Drosophila melanogaster: one gene and its partners. The gene in region 3 interacts genetically with the main gene of each other region. Each region holds a gene or a part of one and is shown on either strand. Other genes may lie near its edges.

Region 1 (7,775 bases), 4.0 Mb from region 3:
ACTGAGTATCAGTGTATTTGAAACCGAAATGTTGCATGTTTTATACACCCGAAAGCCCTATTCAAGTCGATTATTGCACAGCCGTCGGGTAAATTGTAAAAAAGAGGCCAAGTTATAACGCTTTACTTTTTAGACCCTTGCAGAAGGTATATATCTTCCAGTCAGAAGTTTTCAGGGCTTAAAGGGTTAAAAGGCACTTTCTTCATTCTTGATCAGTTTTACCAGCCAAGTCCGTCTGTTCATCCAGTTTTAAGGATTCTAGCCTCTCAGTTTTAAAGCTGTTTGCATGAAAAGACTTCCTCCTGAAATATGTAAGTAAGAAAAGGGAATAATCGGTCCTCTATTTCTTATAGCTTCCATAGGAATAATCGAAAAATAAATGAAATAAAAATGGAATATATAATTCCCGTTTTAATTTGTATTATATTTTTTCTTGACATATACATATGTAATTTCTGCAAGGGTATATGAACTTCGGCCTGCCGAAACCAACCTCCTGTCTTGTTTCATTTATGTATATTATTACTTTTTCTGAATGGGGCTTGAAATGAAATGAATTAATCCTAATTAATCGTTCTTATACTAAACCGATTCTAACCAATTCCAATTCTCATTTTATTTCTCAAATGTTTCATGCTCAAATTGGTCTCGTTTACTCTAAATATGGCTTAATTTCTATTTGATTCGGTGTGCACTGTAATCCATCTATCTAAACTCCGTTTTCAATCCGCCTAACTAACTAACCTATCTATGTTTTCTGTAAGCTCTCTTAACTCTTGTTTTTTATCGATTGAATGTGCCATCCATGTAATTTAATTGTTTAATTGTGTTATAAACATTTGGCATTTCAAACCTTTTCACCATCCTGCTACGTTTACCTTCTAAATCCTTAAATTTCTGCGTGTGCTTCTATATGTGTGTGCTATCACTATTATAATCCATCCTACCAATAACTAAAATAACAACAAACCAAAAACAAACAAAAATCGAAAAAAAAACACAAATCAAACCACGAAACGCTGCTCAGAGCTCTAGTATGTCCAAGGTCCATGGAACTGAAGGATCTGGCCGGTCACAGCCACAATTTGGATGTCCATGTGCTGGGAACCGAGGAAACCTGGAATACGCCCAGCTTGATGTTGGCCAAAAGCCTGCAGAGCGGCGGAAAGGCCGTCTTCTCCCAAGTAAGTGATTGCTCATGTAAATATAACAAACATATATTAAAAAAAAACATTCCTATGAAACAAAAAAAAAAACAGGTGCACTTGGAAATGAATCCCAGCGAATTTGAATCCGATGAGACTAAGTACTCCATTCTAAAGCAAAACGAGCGAACTCGCCTCGAGATATTTGCGGATCTCCTGGGAAAGTACTTGGATGTGCAGGTCCGCGGTGGAGACGGTGTCGACCAGCCGCAGCCTGGAGTTGTCTACAAGCACGCATATTTCCTAGGTCGGCACGAGGTCAGTTCGTCTCTCCATTTGTTTTGGCATCAGAATCCAATATTCTAGCTCTTTTTGTTATTCAGGCCAAGTTTGAGCTTCTGGAGAAGCTACGTCTGCGCTGCAGCGGATCCGACAACGTGATAGCAACGCCGAACCTGACGATGAAGTTCTGTGGCAAGGACGATAAGCCTCCAGTGGCCAACAACAATGTCCTGCCCATACTCATACATTCCTGTCCGGATGACTTCTCCACCGTGGATTACTTCGATGTGAGCGCATTCTAATTCTAGTCTATAGCAGAATTAACCCAAATTCCTCTTATTTTAAAGAATCTTAAGACGGAACACATCGGACGACTGGTCATCTATGCACCGGTGGTCAGCAGCTCCATGCATCTCATAAACAACCTGGAGCTCATCCACGGCCTGGCTGTGCTCCCCGTGCAGCAGACGTCCGGAGTGGGTCGCAGAAATAATCAAGTTAGTACTCTAGAAGCATCCAGATTTAAGTTCTTGTTGAAATCATCGCTTTGTGCTTTCCAGTGGCTTAGTCCGCCGGGCTGTGCCATGTTCTCGCTGCAGCTGCACCTGACCATGGACAGCGCTTTGAGCTCTCGGCTGCCTCTGTTGCAGCACCTTGTTGGAACGGCGATTGTTAATTCGCTCCGCAGTCATGAAGAGTACGGGGTGAGTCAAGACTGTAAAGTTTTACCATTTAGTTGAATCTTAAGTTAAGATTGTTTCGATTATCTCCGCCTGTGGGACGATGGGACGAACCTCAGGATCTGTAAAACTGCCAAGTGCACAAAGTGATTTTTTAGGTTTAATAAGTTTATTTGACATTTTGTTTCGATTTCGCATTTAAAGTCCATTTACTATATACACTTGACCATACATAATTCACAATATATATTTAATTTAACACTAGTCCGTCATATACAATACATTGCTGCTGTATATACATGTATATATATATATATATATATATATATATATATATATATATATATAGTTCTCTTACACATAATTAACAATTTAGAAATTGCTCACCTGATTAACGTTTACATTTATGTTTGCCACAGTGCTTGTTTGTTTGTTTGTATATGTATGTCTATGCCTTCTCTGTTTGCCTCTGCTCTTAAACATTTAAGCGTTTTGTCTTTTTCGAGTTAACATTTGATTTGCCTTTGTTTCGTTTGCTAACAACTGCAACTGGAGTGCTCCCGATACATGCCTACACATATGTATGTAGTTTTTAAAATGGATTGCTATAATTTGGTAGTTACGTTTATGTATTTACAATCTTCGCTCGGCTCGATAGAACTTCGCCTTGGGAGAGAGTTTGTGTAGAGTGGACGAGGGCACAAAGCGAGCTAGCTTAGTTGGTAGATCGAAATTGTACTAGACAGTGACAGTGGCCATGCTGCAGTTCCCTCAGAACACGGACTCGGCGGAACGGGAAAGGTTGACGGGGTGGGAGGGACTGCGCGCCAGACGCTTCTTGGGAAGATGCTCCAGCAGGGAGAGCAGGCGTGCGAACTGCGGCCGGTGCTCCTTCTCGTAGGTCCAGCACAGCATCAGCAAGTCCTTGACATCCCGTCCAGACTGCAGGTTGGCCAGCGACTGCTTCATCCCACGGCCAACCTGCCAGATGATCGATTCCGCCGGCTGATCCTTGAATGTGAACTCGCCGCAGATTAGCTCGTACCAAACGGTTCCGAAAGAGTAGACATCGGAGTATGGGGTGAACTCCAGACACTCTCCACGCGGCTTCTCCGGCTGCAATGCTCGGATTAGCTCCGGCGCCAGGTAGCACAACCAGTTGTGGGGCACTCCTAGGCCCATATCACAGTAGAGCAGCTTGGTGGAGCTGAACAGCCCAAAGTCCGTGATAATCACCTTGCCGTTCTCGATGAAGATGTTCTTGGTGCGCAGATCTTTGTGGATGATCTCCCTTGCGTGCAGGTAGCCCATGCCCTGGGCGATCTGCTGGGCAATGAGGAGAGTCCGGTTCATGGCAAACTTCTCCCGACGCTGGTGAATATACGTATACAAGGTGTTGCCCTTGCACAATGAAGTCACAATGGCCAAATATGGTGGGTTCATGCAGGCTCCCATGAACAGCACCAGGTTCTCGTGTCGAGTGTTCTTGAAGTTGGCTACCTCGCTGCGAAACGTCTCCAGCATGTGTTCGTCTTGCAGATAGTCCTCGTTGAGCAGCTTAACCGCCACATCTCCGTGCCAAAGGGCTCGATGCACGGTGCCGAAGCGTCCCTGCCCTATCCGCTCGAGCAGAAGCAGATCACCATACGGGATGTCCCATTCCTTGAGTGAGATCGAGTTCTGGCGCCATTGTCCCGAGTCTCCGTCTTCCGTTGAATCCACACGAACGGGTGTCCGGTCCGAGTCCGTGCTGGCACTTCCAGACAAGGAGACTGTCTTGTCGCTGTCATTTGACTTGTGGGTATCCGTGTACTCGCTGGTGAACGGCGTCCTCTTATCCACACCGGCTGTGCTCAATTTTCGCGGAAAGAAACTGCAGGTGCTGGTGGTGGTTGTGCTATTGACCAGACTGCCCGTCAAGGTGGCCGCAGTAGAAGCGTTTGAAGTTTGGCTACCGATGAGCGAGCTCATGTGCCCGTTGGAGCTGCTCACCAGACTATCAAGTCCTCCGTTGGCTGTTGCAGGCGCCGTGGGGAATTGCTCTGGCACTGGTTCATTGGAGATGAGCGATACACCACCGCTTCCGCCACTGCTCGTCACCGTCACGTTGGGAAAGTTGAATTGACTCGGCTGGTGCTTGCCAAGCGAAGGCGTAGGTAACAGATTGGCGCTAGAGCTGCTGCCCGCCTGATCCAGCTCGCGCTCCCTTTGCTGGAACAGCGCCGGACTGCTGGGCGTGGAACTAGTGCAGCTGGAACTCGGCGAACTGCTATCGCCGTGCTGCTGATGCAAGGGCTTACCCAGGGTGCTCTTTTTTACCAAAGGGGATCCTTTCGCCGCGCCATGCACATGCGGCAGACTGGCGTATCCTCCCTGCTCCTTTATGTGCCGAAACTCGTCCACATATTCTCGTGGAAGTCCACAGGAGGGCGGTACGTGCGGTGCGCATGACTTGTGGCAGATGTACTTGCAGTCGGTGCACTTCATCCAGCGGTGAAAGACCTGCTTCTGGCACAGGGTACAGGTGGCCATGAAGCCCAGGGCCTTGGTGAAACGATGCTTGATTGCATGACCCATGCCCACGTGACCCACGCCCGGAGAGCATGGCACCATAAGCACGTTCGAGGAACTTCCTCCGGAGCTGGCATTAGTATTTGGGTCCACAAAGATGTCCGAGCTGGTGGAGCTGTGGCTATCGGGGCTGGGATCAGTGGGCAAACGGTTGCGGGCTAATTGCTCCCCGTCCACTTGCACATGACTCTGGCTCAGCAAGGTCTGGTGCTTTCTAGCTGGCGGCGGGGTACCACGACTCCTCTGTGGTGTTCCATTAAGGCTGCTGCTCAGCCCACTGGAAGGCGTGAAGGGCGAATTGGGTGGCGAGGGCGTAAGGGTTAAAGTCAGCTGGGAACCCTGTGTGCTGTTCAGCTCTTCTGTCGCTGAGGGCGATTGGCGGCCACTTTTGAAGTTGGTGGAGTTGGCCAGAGCGGAATTCTTTCCCTTGACACCATGCTGGCGATGATGGGTTCTCGGGGAGGCGGTTGAATTGTTACCCAGTCCAATGTTTCCCACACTGCCGCGATGAATGTGGGTGGGCCTGTCCCAGGAGTCCCAGTGCCACTGCTCTGGATCGTTGTTGCTAGCCGCAGTACCGCTCTCCAGCGACTCCATGCACTTCCTTAAGTTCTGCATGGCCCTGGTCAGGCGTCGCAGTTCCTCCTCCTCTCGCTGGCTGGGGCTGTCAGCCAGGAGTTGACGGATCTCCTCGTCGCTGAGACGCAGGCTTTGCTCTAGAGTGGTCAGGCGAGCAAGGCAGGCGGTAAGAGTCCCCTGGCTAAGGCCCACTACGCGCAGCCATTGCCTCAGTTCGTTGCCCGTTGTGTGGGGCACAAGCCCGTTGGCCGGGATGCGCTCATTTAGCCGCATCTTCGCCAGCAGCAGCTCGGAGAAGTATCGCACCAGCTTCGACTCCAGGCAACGAATCTCCTGCTGCGTCAGCGTGGAGCTGATCGCGCACTGCGTTCGCAGGCCCTCCAGATGGTTGGCCGAGAGATCAATCATGTCCTGAATGATAACCAGGTTGCTGTCTACGGACAGCGAACCGGAGATGGGATCGTTGGCATTGGTGGAGCCCGTGTCTGGAGCCGATGCGGGTGCGTTGTTGTTGCTGCTCATCCTGCTTATTCGCGACGGAGTGGAGCCCGATTGATTTTTTCAGACGCCCCCTCGGGGACTCGACGATTCGATGGGACCAATGGCTGGGACTCCGCCCCGCATTGTGGCCCTCGCCAAGCGACCTTGACGTTCGGTGCTCCGGCTATCGCGCACGCTAACGCCCGCAACTCTAAACGGCTTAGGCAATGCGAAAAAGCAATAATTTGTACAAGTTCCTCGGCTGTTGTTGAAATTTCTCTACACCCAAGTAGCGCATCGAGAGAAGTGTGACCATACCCGGGAGGACTCCTTCTCACTGCACACCAAAATGTACTAAAAGCACTTATCCGAAAAACTTAGGGGCACTCCTCTGTATTTAAAAAAAATAGAACGTTAAGTATTATTATTCTTATGTTGTAATTATATTATGTCTTCGAGTGTATATAGCATATATATTTCAATTCTATTTGAAAAATTAATCCAGAAATTATTTTCACATTTTTATTTTATTAGTCGAAATAAGTCAAATATTTTAATATTTATATTTTATTATTTGGAAATGGAAATTAGGTAGATATTATTTTAATATTTTAATTTTATAACTAAAAATAATTTTTTTAAGTTAATATTTGATGTTCCAATTTATATTTTATGATATGTAATATTACGGAGATAGGCGAGTTTTACTTAATTTATTCATATCACCTTCAGGTGCTGGATATTTCCATTAAGTGGCCGAATGACATTTATGCAAATGGAAATCAGAAAATTGGGGGCCTCGTCATTAATACCACACTTCAGGGATCCCAAGCCATCGTCAATATCGGAAGTGGAATTAATTTGAACAATTCAAGACCAACAGTTTGCATCAATGACTTGATAAGAGAATATAATACCCGTGTCCCGAACAACAAGTTACCTATACTTAAGTACGAGCTACTTATTGCCATGATATTCAATGAAATCGAAAGACTTTTGGGAGAAGTACAAAACGGAGACTTTGATAGTTTTTATGCATTATACTATTCGCTATGGTTACACAGGTAAATTTAAAACATTTTTAAAATACATTTAATTTGCATATTACATTTACTAACATGTTTTTATGTACAGCGGGCAATCTGTTAAGATTTGCCTACAAAAAGATCAGGAAAAAGAGGCCGAAATTGTGGGAATCGATGACTTTGGATTTTTGGAGGTGAAATTACCAACTGGTACTATAGAAATTGTGCAGCCCGATGGAAACAGCTTTGATATGTTGAAGGGATTGATTATACCCAAGTATCAATAGTGAAATGAAGCAGATGTGAAAACTCATATTATTCCCCGAACCCTCTAGTTTAATTGGCCCTTAAGCAACTTGTACTTTTTAGGCAAATTTAGGTCAATTTATAACTACGTAAAAACGTTTATCCTTATAAATATTTACAAGGTGATTCTTCTTAAGTGGCTTTACGAAATAATAATGGATAATTTAATCCACTAAATTAAATACTGCCAAAGAGAATTATATGTTAAAGGAAGTCTCAAAATATTTATAATGACAGGTACATTTGTTTGTTCCCTATAAACCAGTGTTTGGAAATTACTTCGTAAGATAATCGCGTTTGTTACCATTGTTATCGCCATCGATTCCTCTGCATACGGGTGTTTTTGAAATTTGAATTTAATAAATACATATTCGATCATTGCTGACCTTAGACCACTGAGATTAACTGCCGCACAGGTCTTATCTTAAATTTAAGATGGATTTTTTTATTACATAATTTTTTTATTCTAAAATTGTTTATTTTATTATTCTTCTAAAATTTTTTTTTGAACTGAACTTTCATTAGAAAGTTATATTTTTTAAAATTTTTTTGAACTGAACTAAAGAGAGCTTGACAGTGTAGTTTCCTATAAAATTGTCAACACTGGTGATGCGAAGACTTGGTATAATTCCAAGTATGTGAGTTGGTTACACTGTTGCTTTGCTGGAAAAGAAAATTGTGGAATAAAACGGAGTCTGCGGCATTGG
Region 2 (4,401 bases), on a different chromosome or scaffold from region 3:
TCAGCCCGCAGGAGCACATCGTCGAGCGCCTCCCGCAACGCGGCCATGTTCTGGGGATTTTGCTTGAAGGCCTCAATCCGCGCCTCCAGTGACTCCGTTTCGATTCCATCAACGCTGTCCGGAGACGCTGGCTCGGGATCCGCAAATCTGGCATGCATCTTTCCTGGGTTTTTGTGAGAATTCCTTTTTATCCTTTGAAAATGCTGCCAGAAGCGTTTCGAGCTTTGCCTTTGTCCTGCGATGGGTATCTACAAGGAGTGCTGAGCAGAGCTCTTTGTGCGTTCACCCAGCAATGCGCTGGAGAAATCAATAGCAAGCCACTTGGGGGCCCATACCCGCACATGCGTGCTGACTGCGTGGGCAAGCTTTCGATTTGTGGGGTGGGAGAGCAGTCAGTTGATTTCAACAGTTCGTTATTTACAGAACTGTAGCTTAATATTTCTATGGGAAATCCTTAAATAATGTTTTTTTTTTTGCTTGCTAAGAAGAACTAAATCCATTTTACACAAAACGTGTGAAAATAATGATTTAATATTCTTCCTATTTGTGTGGTTACATTTTTTTGGGGTAGGAACCCGCATTTTTTATTTTATTGCATACAATATGACAAAATGTGGACTACGAACTAAGCTGGCTACTCCAGGTGCGAGAGATCGTCCAGCTCGGGCGGTGCGCGCACAATCTCCGTCTCAATGATCAGCGAGTTGGCGTCTAGGATGCTCTGAAAGATTGAACTGTTATACCATCAACTGCTGGCGCTTCGCTACCGGCAATAACACACACATTATCGCTGCTCCGCTGTGCAGCCGCTAGTAGACTGCCGCTCGAGCTTGAGTTCGAATTGGAGGCACTGGCAGCGTTGGAGGCCGCGGAGAGGACCACGCTGTGCGGAGAGCTGCCACGCCGCACCACCTTCGCCTGGCCCTGCTGCGGCGAGTTCTGGGTGACTATCACAAACTTTTGCGCCGGCTGGTTGGCCTGAATGGCTCTTATTTGCGGCAGGGACGAGACTCCGGGACTTCTAAAACAAAAGAATATTTAACCGCTTAGTAATGGGCATAAAAAGACATGTCAACATGGTTTCCATTAGGAATCAAATGCTTGGCTGGAATTTTATTTTATGCTTAAAAGTGTTATTTACCCCTGTCTCTGTGTGGTGGGCATGGACACTCGTCCGATGGTTGTTGCTGTTTGTGCTGCACTCGTGATGGGTGCCGTGTTGATAGTGTTGGATGACAGGGTTACAATGCTTGAGGCGGGCGCATTTCGAACTTTGACTACTGCCTGGCACAGCGACGGCCCCAGGAAGCCAAAGTCGTTCTTGTAGTCCTCCGCTGTATCTGGCGCTGAGCGCATTTGCCTGAGAATCGGGGGACAGCACTTCTGAAGCATGGCGCGGATGTGACCTGCTGCTGTCTTGTCAGTGTTGCTGATGGAGGTGCCGAGCAGGTGAGGTTCAATGCGCTCCGATATGAACTTAAGGCGGGGTATGATGAAAACCTTTATGACTTCGCCCCCCAGCTCCGAGAGACCCGCAATAGAGCCGTAAAGCGAGGACAGGTGGGTCTTGTCGTTCTGCAGGGCCTTGCTGAAGATGCTGAAGGTTGGGAAATGGATGTTAAAAGGTTATTTAATTTAAGTGGATGTGATTTACCGGGTGACACGGGTTTGCAGATTGTTGGTTAGGGTATTGAAGTTCTTGCAGATTTGAGCCATCAGTCGGGAGGCAAAGTCTCGCAGGGCCCAGTGATTGTCCAGCTCGGGGCGCATACACAGCTGTTTGGACACAATGCACGTCATCACCGAGGGTATCAGTTCGTGGAGCTATGCGGAGACAACATCGTTTTTATGAGAAACAAAGAACAATACAATAAGAAATTTCTTACGTATTTCTCCAGAAACAGCGAAGGATTATCCAGAAGCGCACGAACCATGCGCATGAGGTAAATAAGCAACGCCAAGTTGTTCTGAACCACATTGACCTTAACTCCCTCGGCAATGAAGGTGCACATGCGGGGAAGCATTTCGTGCAGGCCAGGATCGGATCCCAGCGACTGCAGCGCTTCCCCGCGCCGCGGCTCATCAGATCCCACGCACGCCTCGGTGATCTCCTTGTAGTACAACTGCTGCTCCACGGACAACTCGTGCGTGGCCAGTTGCTTGACATGAATGGTCTCCACGTTTTTCAGCTTGTGTATCTTGCCGGTGGTGGGTTTGCCTGCCGCATCTTTGTTTAGGCCTTGATCCATCTTAATAACTGGATTGACCGAGTCCAGTAACTGGGAATCCTTCGAGAGCGGAGGGGGGTTTTCGGGCACAGTGGGTTGCACTCCCTCCACAACAAACCAATGGGAGCGCAGGGTGAGATCCAGGGGAATTTTTACAGAGTTGGTGGATGTGATTTCTCCTAGGTCGATTTCCTTGTCCTCGGTGAAGTGCAGCTCCCGTCCTCCGCCAGATGCGAAGCGGAATGGAATGAAGTCCTTGGCTACGAAACCGTACTGCGGCTCCACATTTCGCACCTTAAGGGACATGTCGATGTCCCGCACTGAGAGCTTCTGCCGCTTGGCGTGGTTCATGAACTTGGCCGCATCCTGTACAATCCTCTTCAGCTTGATGGACACATCCTCCGCTAGTTCCTTGGCGGCGTCATCCGACAGGGAGCCCACTCCGATGCTCTCCGCGATCACCTTCATGGACTCCGCCGAGATGCTGGAGCCGTACAGCATGCTGCTGGAGGGGCTGCTCGGTTTCGACGGTTTTCCACTCATTTCCCAGGTTTTTACAAATAAACAAATAATAATCGCCGAGCTGCTCGGCCAGTGTGCACACACCCAAAAGAGAAAATCTAGCTATTCTGGCTTTTTTGTTGTTTCATATCGTCTGCTATAATTAGTTTTATGGTCACCTAAAATTTTGCTATTTGCGAGTTCATGTAAGGAATATATTCCCATAACAAATATTTAGTTACAATAGTAAAAAAAATATAAGAATTCATTTTTAATTCATAAAAAATGTCATATTAATATTACTGGTTTCACATTGTTATACAATAATCGGCTTGTTTTTTTCCAGCTATTTTTGAATAGAATCCACTATTGTTCGCGATAGTTGCCTGCTAAATTCCGCCGCAAGGTCACACTGTCGCGTAGACATCACGTACACCCCAGCTGGGCACACTGAAACGCAGTCTTTTTCTTTATTTATGTTCGTAAATTTTTGGTTGCCTGGCTTTTTGTTGTTGCGCCACATTAACAATAACAATTGATGCGCCCCGCCACCGCCCACTAGTCGCGAAAAAAGTGAATTATCGGTACCGCGGATTAATGTGCCACATGCGAGAAGCGTTGCAACGTTGCGCCGTCGTCGGGCGTCGAACAAAGCAGTTTTTGGGAAAGTGAAAACGGCGCCATTTTAGAAGCAGGCAAGCCACGGCCTAAGGCTCAAGAAAAGTGCAAATGCAATGTGTGCAGCAATAGATTGTCATTTCGGCACAAACGAAACCGACTACTGAGGTCTACTACTAGCCCAGAAAACAATCAAGCGTAAGTGTGCTGTAGGTAATGGTTTTTTTTTTGGACGATGTCACCGCGGTTTGACCTACTTTAAAGGCGATTAAGAGTGCCACCAAATCGAATTAAAAACACTTGGCTAACAAAAGCGAACCTTTGCAGCTCCCCAGCGACTCCAAAATATGAGCTGTAGCCAAAATGAGACGGCAGCAGCAAAGGTTCTGGAAACGCAACGCGCACAAGAATCCGGCAGTGAAAATGAGGCAAGTCTTTAAAATGGCACCCTTTATGCAATGCTATATGTAAAGTGTGTTGTTCTCCTCAGGAAACCGATTCCATTACGGATCAATCGAGCCAGTCGAAGTCGATCAAGTCAGCCACCCAGTTTAGCGTGCAGCGTTCGGACACCGATGGACTGCGAATGAGAATCTCGGCCATCCGCCCCACGTTAGGAGTCGTAGCAACCAAGAAACCCCCAAAGTCCAGAAAAATGTCTACCCAGGACACCGAGTCCGGCTGCTCGGAGGCCAAAAATAGAGCGGTCAGCAAGAAAGTGAAGGTCAAGCGCAAGAAGCTGGCAAGTTCCAGTGGGATTAGTAAATCGGACAAAGTGTCTAAGTCTAAGAAGTCACAGATCTCGGCATTTTCCTCGGACTCAGAGGACGATCTGCCCTTGAAGGTGCATCAGCAGAGAGCTCCGCGAGTGCTGCTAAGTGCTATCATCCAGGCGGCACAGTCGGCCAGCAAACCCACCCTCGATATCGGAATCTCGTCCAGCGACAACGAGTTACCTAACCTGGTGCAGGCGGCTATCAAGCGAGTGGAGAGCGATACGGAGGACACAACTGTGGAAGGAAGTTTCCGCAAAGCGGCCAAGGACAAGAACCTA
Region 3 (4,965 bases):
TCTTGCAATATTCGTAGTAGTACACACCCGGAGCGGCGTCCGCGAAAACAAAATGGCGACCGCGTCAATCGACTTTTTCGCCAAATGTTCTTTTCTATGCTAGCGTTATGGCTTACCTTTTGATGTTGGCTGTGCTCTTAATACTGGTAATATTTCTATTTTGCTGCTTTCGGCGTAGTAAATTTTATACAATGAACAAACGCTTGTGACAAACTACAGTTTCCGAGATCAATAGAAAACCGTACAAAAGTCTATGTTAGAGTTGACAGTGATACGATGACAGCACATTCATCGATGGTTTGATATTTGGACGTGTCTCAGATTTCTATCGACTAGACATCGCCGATATTCGAAAATGCTCTTCGAATTATCGAAATGTAGGCATACTGCAATTTACGCGCGCAACGCAAAAATTCAAATAATAGAATATTTGGCTCAACAAGACAGGAGACTTTAGATGGAAAAATAGAATCCACAAAAGCAAAACTATGGAATAACTAAAACCACTTTTCATAAATAGTACACACAATCGATTTATTTCGTTTCTTTTTGTATGGCAAAAATTAATACAAAAAATTAAATATTAAATGTATGTATGTATGTATAAAAAGCTTAAAGCAAACTATATAATGTAAATTTAATTGGCTGTTTGTTTTCTCTCCGATTGATCTGTCAGTATGGTAAGTAGAAAGAAAGGCAAATCTCAAGAACTCATACGGATTATAATTTCATCATCGTAGCACCACAGATATGTGTTTAACCGAACATAAATCTAGTTTGGGGCTAGCGAATTTACTCGTTTGTGCGAAAGTTGCTGTGAGCTTATCGGCTTTTGCTTGTTTGTTCTCTAATGATGAATACTAATGGAATTCTGCTCGTGCGTGTGTGCGAAAAAAGATTACATTTATGTATGACTGTCGGGTTGAAACCAATAGATAACAGGGCTGTAAAAATACACAATATTTGTTTACATCGCGTTTCGGTTTTAAGCACGGAGTATCTGTTGAAGTACAAACAACATAGAATCAAGTTAAGTGCTGGTTGAAAACAAACGGATATAGCAGCTGAACCAAGGCAGTTACAACAGTATTCATAGTTTTTATGTAGAGGTACATATTCATTTTCATTTTCGATTTGCTTCGTTCGTTTTTGTTTGCTTGTTATTGTTAATACTCTTAAAAGGGCGCCTCGCAGCCTTTCAAACGACACAAAACACACACATTCACAAAATCATTTCGACGTACATAAAACTCTAGTTACTTAAATTAATTACAATTTCTCTTCTTTTATCTGACAATTGCACCGACCAACACGCTCCCACATGTGTGTGTTTTTCGCATTGTGTGTCCAAAATGGACAAACCATCGAGCCCAGGACGATCGGCGATTCGCCGACGCACATACAGACAAACAGGCGACATTTGAAGAAATAAAAAGTGAATAATAACCAATGCGTGGCCGTTTAGAGCATTTTACATTTAAATCTACGATTCGGCTTGTTCATTTTGCGGCCCCTCCGCCCCTTGTTGTCCTTGTCCTTGCGGATTTCGCGCACCAGTGTGTAAAATGCATCGTCCACGCCCATGCGCGTCTTGGCGGATGTCTCAATGTATGGAATGCCGTACTGTTTGGCCACCTGAGAACAACCATAATTAACGGAATGTTCGCTCGGAACTCTGAAGGCCGGTACTCACCTCTCTTGCCTGCTCGTTGTTAACGTTCCACGAGGCCAGATCACATTTGTTGCCCACCAGCACCATGGGCACCTCTTCGGCATCCTTTACGCGCTTGATCTGCTCACGGTAGGTGCCGATATCCTCGAAGGACTTCGCACTGTTGACGGCAAAGACCAGCAGGAATCCCTCGCCAGTCCGCATATACTGATCCCGCATGGCCGAGTACTCCTCTTGGCCGGCGGTGTCCAGGATGTCCAGCAGGCAGGTCTCTCCATCTGCAGGGGAATATAAAATGCATTTGAATATCGCAACTTCTTAAGGTCTCTTCTAGTATAAACGGGAAACCAAACCAGCGAAAGGGTGCAGAAATCTCTAGAGTATTTGGACCTGTGCAGCCCTAGCTTTGCCAGATCTAAGTACATATAACTCACCGATAACCACTTGCTTTCGGTAAGAGTCCTCGATTGTGGGGTCGTACTCGTCCACGAAATGGTTCTGGATTAGCTGGATGGTGAGCGCGGACTTGCCCACGCCTCCGGCTCCAACGACGACCAGTTTGTATTCCGTCATTTGGCTGTGGCGTCCGTTTTCGATTTGCCGTAGTCAAATGTCACAGTAACAGTCTCTTTCTCGCGATCGATGCTTACTCTCTTGTGAAGCGCCCGCAGATGCAGTCTCTCTCTCCGTACGCTTGTTGCGTGTGTTTGTGTGGGTGACTGTGCGTGTATGGGCTGCAAGTGGAGTAAATTATTAATTAAGATTGATTAAAATAAATTAAACGCATAATTAGGCAGGAATTAATGCACGTCACTGAGTCACTGTGACTAGGCGCTTACTCGCACAAACACACACGCACCACTGCATGCACACAGCCAGACGGGCAACACAAAAAAAAATGGGAAAAAGAGATCAATGACTCAAACTAAAATTAAAACCCATTCGCTCAATGCAAATTAGTTAGTCTCCCCCATAGCCGAGTTGTTAACTAGGTGAATTTGCTAATTCGGCGGCGTTGTTTTTAGCCCTTTTCTTTATTATTTTTCTTTTGCCTGCCGGGGCTGCGGACCTTCTTTGTTGCTGCCTCTTCAGCTAGCTCCTCCTTGTTTTTCCGCTCCGCTCCTCTCTATCAATACTCTGCCTCTCTCTTCTCGCGCGCGGCGCAGTTGCTGGGCACGTTTCACGTCACTTTCGCGGCTAACGGTGCGACAGGCGGTACTCCTCGATGGCACCAATTTAATTGCCGTGCGGTAATTGCAATTAACAGCGCAGGAAAACAATAAATCCGTATGTGAAATGAAGATGAAATCTAGGCTGTACGTAGCTGTGAAGATACTAGAGCTGGCACCAAGCCGATGGCACTATCGATAGCGATGGCTGCATTCTGGCCGGCACCATCGATGGACTTGCAATAGCGATTGCTATATGAAAACTAATCTAAAGAGGTGGATGCACTTCAGTCGACTCTCTATAATTTGCTTAAACTAATAAATGATTTGATCAATACAGCTTTCTGTAAAAACTGGCAGACGCTTTCTGCTTTTAATAATTGTTAATTTAAGTTCAACGGGCTGGCATCACCGTTTCTTAGCACGGACTCAAGCCTGAGTCTATTATTTCAACCACCACTGTAACGAAAACAGCATGGACAGATTGAAATTCAATAATTTGGTAAATAAACGATTTTATTTAAAATTATAGAGTTTTAATTAAAAAGAACTTTTACAGGTGATATCCAACAAGAAGGTCATTCAAAAGGCACGCGCCCAGACCATCGCCAAAATCGTACAAAAGCTGCGAAAGACAAAAGAGGCTCTGGCCAAAAATCCAGACAGTGAAAAGGAAAAGATTCGTTTACGCAAGAACACAGAATGCCTGGCCCAGTTGAAGGCTCTAAAATATATGGATATGGTACGCCAGTCGCTCCTGCAGGAGGGCACAAATCCCAATGCGGTGATTGCTAACGAGCGCTCCACGCCGGATGAACTGGGCATTGCCATGCTGCGGCTAAACAAATTGATGCACGGACTGGTGGACAAGTTTGTGGAAACCTTGAAGCTGAGCACCACCGATAAGGAGGCCAAGTGGCGTGAGGAGATCCTAGAGACGAGCAAGCGAAGGGCCAAAATAGAACGCACTGAGGAGCGGAAGAGGAAGCGCAAGGAGCTGAAGGAGCAGAAGGCCCAAACCAAAAACCGACTGGAGTGGTTAGAGCAGAACAAAGTGGTGGATGCAGATGTTAATGGAGCAACTGCGGAAACGCCCACTCTTCAAGTCAGCAAAGTAAATGATCAGGAAATACCACAGTCTTTTGCAAAAACTGAAAATTCTCCAGTTCTCAAAGTCAAAAAGGAAAAGACACCTAAAACACCAGCCAAAAAAGAAAGAAACCTTCAGAAAAAACAAGCTTTTGATGAGCAGATCAACCCGGAGATAACTAAGCTCAGTTCCAAAAAGCAGAATTTAAATACAATCAAGGAGAATAATGCAGAGCCACAACTAGAAGGCAGACCGAAAGAATCTAAGCCAAAACCCTTCGAGAAAAAACCAGCCAGAGAGCAGAAGCCTAAGCCACGATTAGAAAGGCAGCCAAGTATCGATGAAGAAGAACCACAACTTGACAATAATCGTCCCACACATGTCGTTGATCCCTTCTTCATTACGGAATCAGGCCAGCCCTACTTGTCCAGCGCCGTGGTTCTTTCCGGGGACAATGACAGCGAAGCTGATGAGGAACAGGCACCGCCGCCAGTCAAAAGGTTCCGCAATGAGGATCGACGGTCGAACACATATCGGGAGAAACCGGAAAGACAGCCAGAGTTCAAAGCGAGAAAGCCAACTGATGATCGTCATCCCTCCTGGCTGGCTAAGCAACAGCAGAAACCAATCATTGGTGATTTTAGAGGCAAGAAGATTACATTCGGCGACGACGGCCAGGCGGCGGAAATTATTGCTCCAAGTATCAATCAATTAACCGCTACTGCTGCTCCTTTGCCCACCGATGGCATGCACCCGTCTTGGGTGGCCAAACAGAAGTTTAAGCCGAAAATTGCCGCGTTTCAGGGCACAAAGATTAAGTTTGACGAAGATTAAAGATGATGTCAATGGTATTTTGTTGTTTTAATAACTAAATAACTGCAGCTTTGCTGCTCACACGCCAACTTTGGGCACATAGTGACCACGAATCTTGTCCTCGTTGCGCAGCTTGTCCACGTTGACATCGGGGAACTGGCGACGCAGCACATCCAGATCGAAATTGGGGTTGCGACGCAGGATCATCATGACTTCGTTGC

The links.
Region 1: of Ras85D (region 3) and ksr, changing one suppresses a phenotype caused by changing the other (phenotypic suppression), as found in Drosophila melanogaster (3 studies listed by BioGRID).
Region 2: of Ras85D (region 3) and Taf6, changing one suppresses a phenotype caused by changing the other (phenotypic suppression), as found in Drosophila melanogaster (3 studies listed by BioGRID).

The regions. Positions count from the first base shown.
Region 1 is NT_033777.3:5,477,859-5,485,633, forward strand, and holds ksr (kinase suppressor of ras), read right to left. Parts: upstream 6,049-7,775; 5' UTR 5,780-6,048; coding exon 2,879-5,779; 3' UTR 2,132-2,878; coding exon of another isoform or gene 1,988-2,131; 3' UTR 1,925-1,987; coding exon of another isoform or gene 1,775-1,924; 3' UTR 1,715-1,774; coding exon of another isoform or gene 1,529-1,714; 3' UTR 1,464-1,528; coding exon of another isoform or gene 1,260-1,463; 3' UTR 1,185-1,259; coding exon of another isoform or gene 1,028-1,184; 3' UTR 532-1,027; downstream 1-531. Other genes in the region: Hcs (holocarboxylase synthetase), read left to right, coding at 1,028-1,184, 1,260-1,463, 1,529-1,714, 1,775-1,924, 1,988-2,131, 6,470-6,801, 6,872-7,049.
Region 2 is NT_037436.4:19,597,530-19,601,930, reverse strand, and holds Taf6 (TBP-associated factor 6), read right to left. Parts: upstream 2,844-4,401; 5' UTR 2,772-2,843; coding exon 1,887-2,771; intron 1,825-1,886; coding exon 1,655-1,824; intron 1,598-1,654; coding exon 1,142-1,597; intron 1,022-1,141; coding exon 712-1,021; 3' UTR 549-711; downstream 1-548. Other genes in the region: CG9368 (uncharacterized protein), read right to left, coding at 1-158; ash1 (absent, small, or homeotic discs 1), read left to right, coding at 3,695-3,775, 3,838-4,401. UniProt on the Drosophila melanogaster protein: TFIID is a multimeric protein complex that plays a central role in mediating promoter responses to various activators and repressors.
Region 3 is NT_033777.3:9,510,047-9,515,011, forward strand, and holds Ras85D (Ras oncogene at 85D), read right to left. Parts: upstream 3,022-4,965; 5' UTR 2,742-3,021; intron 2,407-2,741; 5' UTR 2,246-2,406; coding exon 2,107-2,245; intron 1,951-2,106; coding exon 1,694-1,950; intron 1,636-1,693; coding exon 1,462-1,635; 3' UTR 515-1,461; downstream 1-514. Other genes in the region: Rlb1, read left to right, coding at 3,317-3,343, 3,401-4,765; mRpL47 (mitochondrial ribosomal protein L47), read right to left, coding at 4,823-4,965. UniProt on the Drosophila melanogaster protein: Ras proteins bind GDP/GTP and possess intrinsic GTPase activity. Plays a role in eye development by regulating cell growth, survival of postmitotic ommatidial cells and differentiation of photoreceptor cells.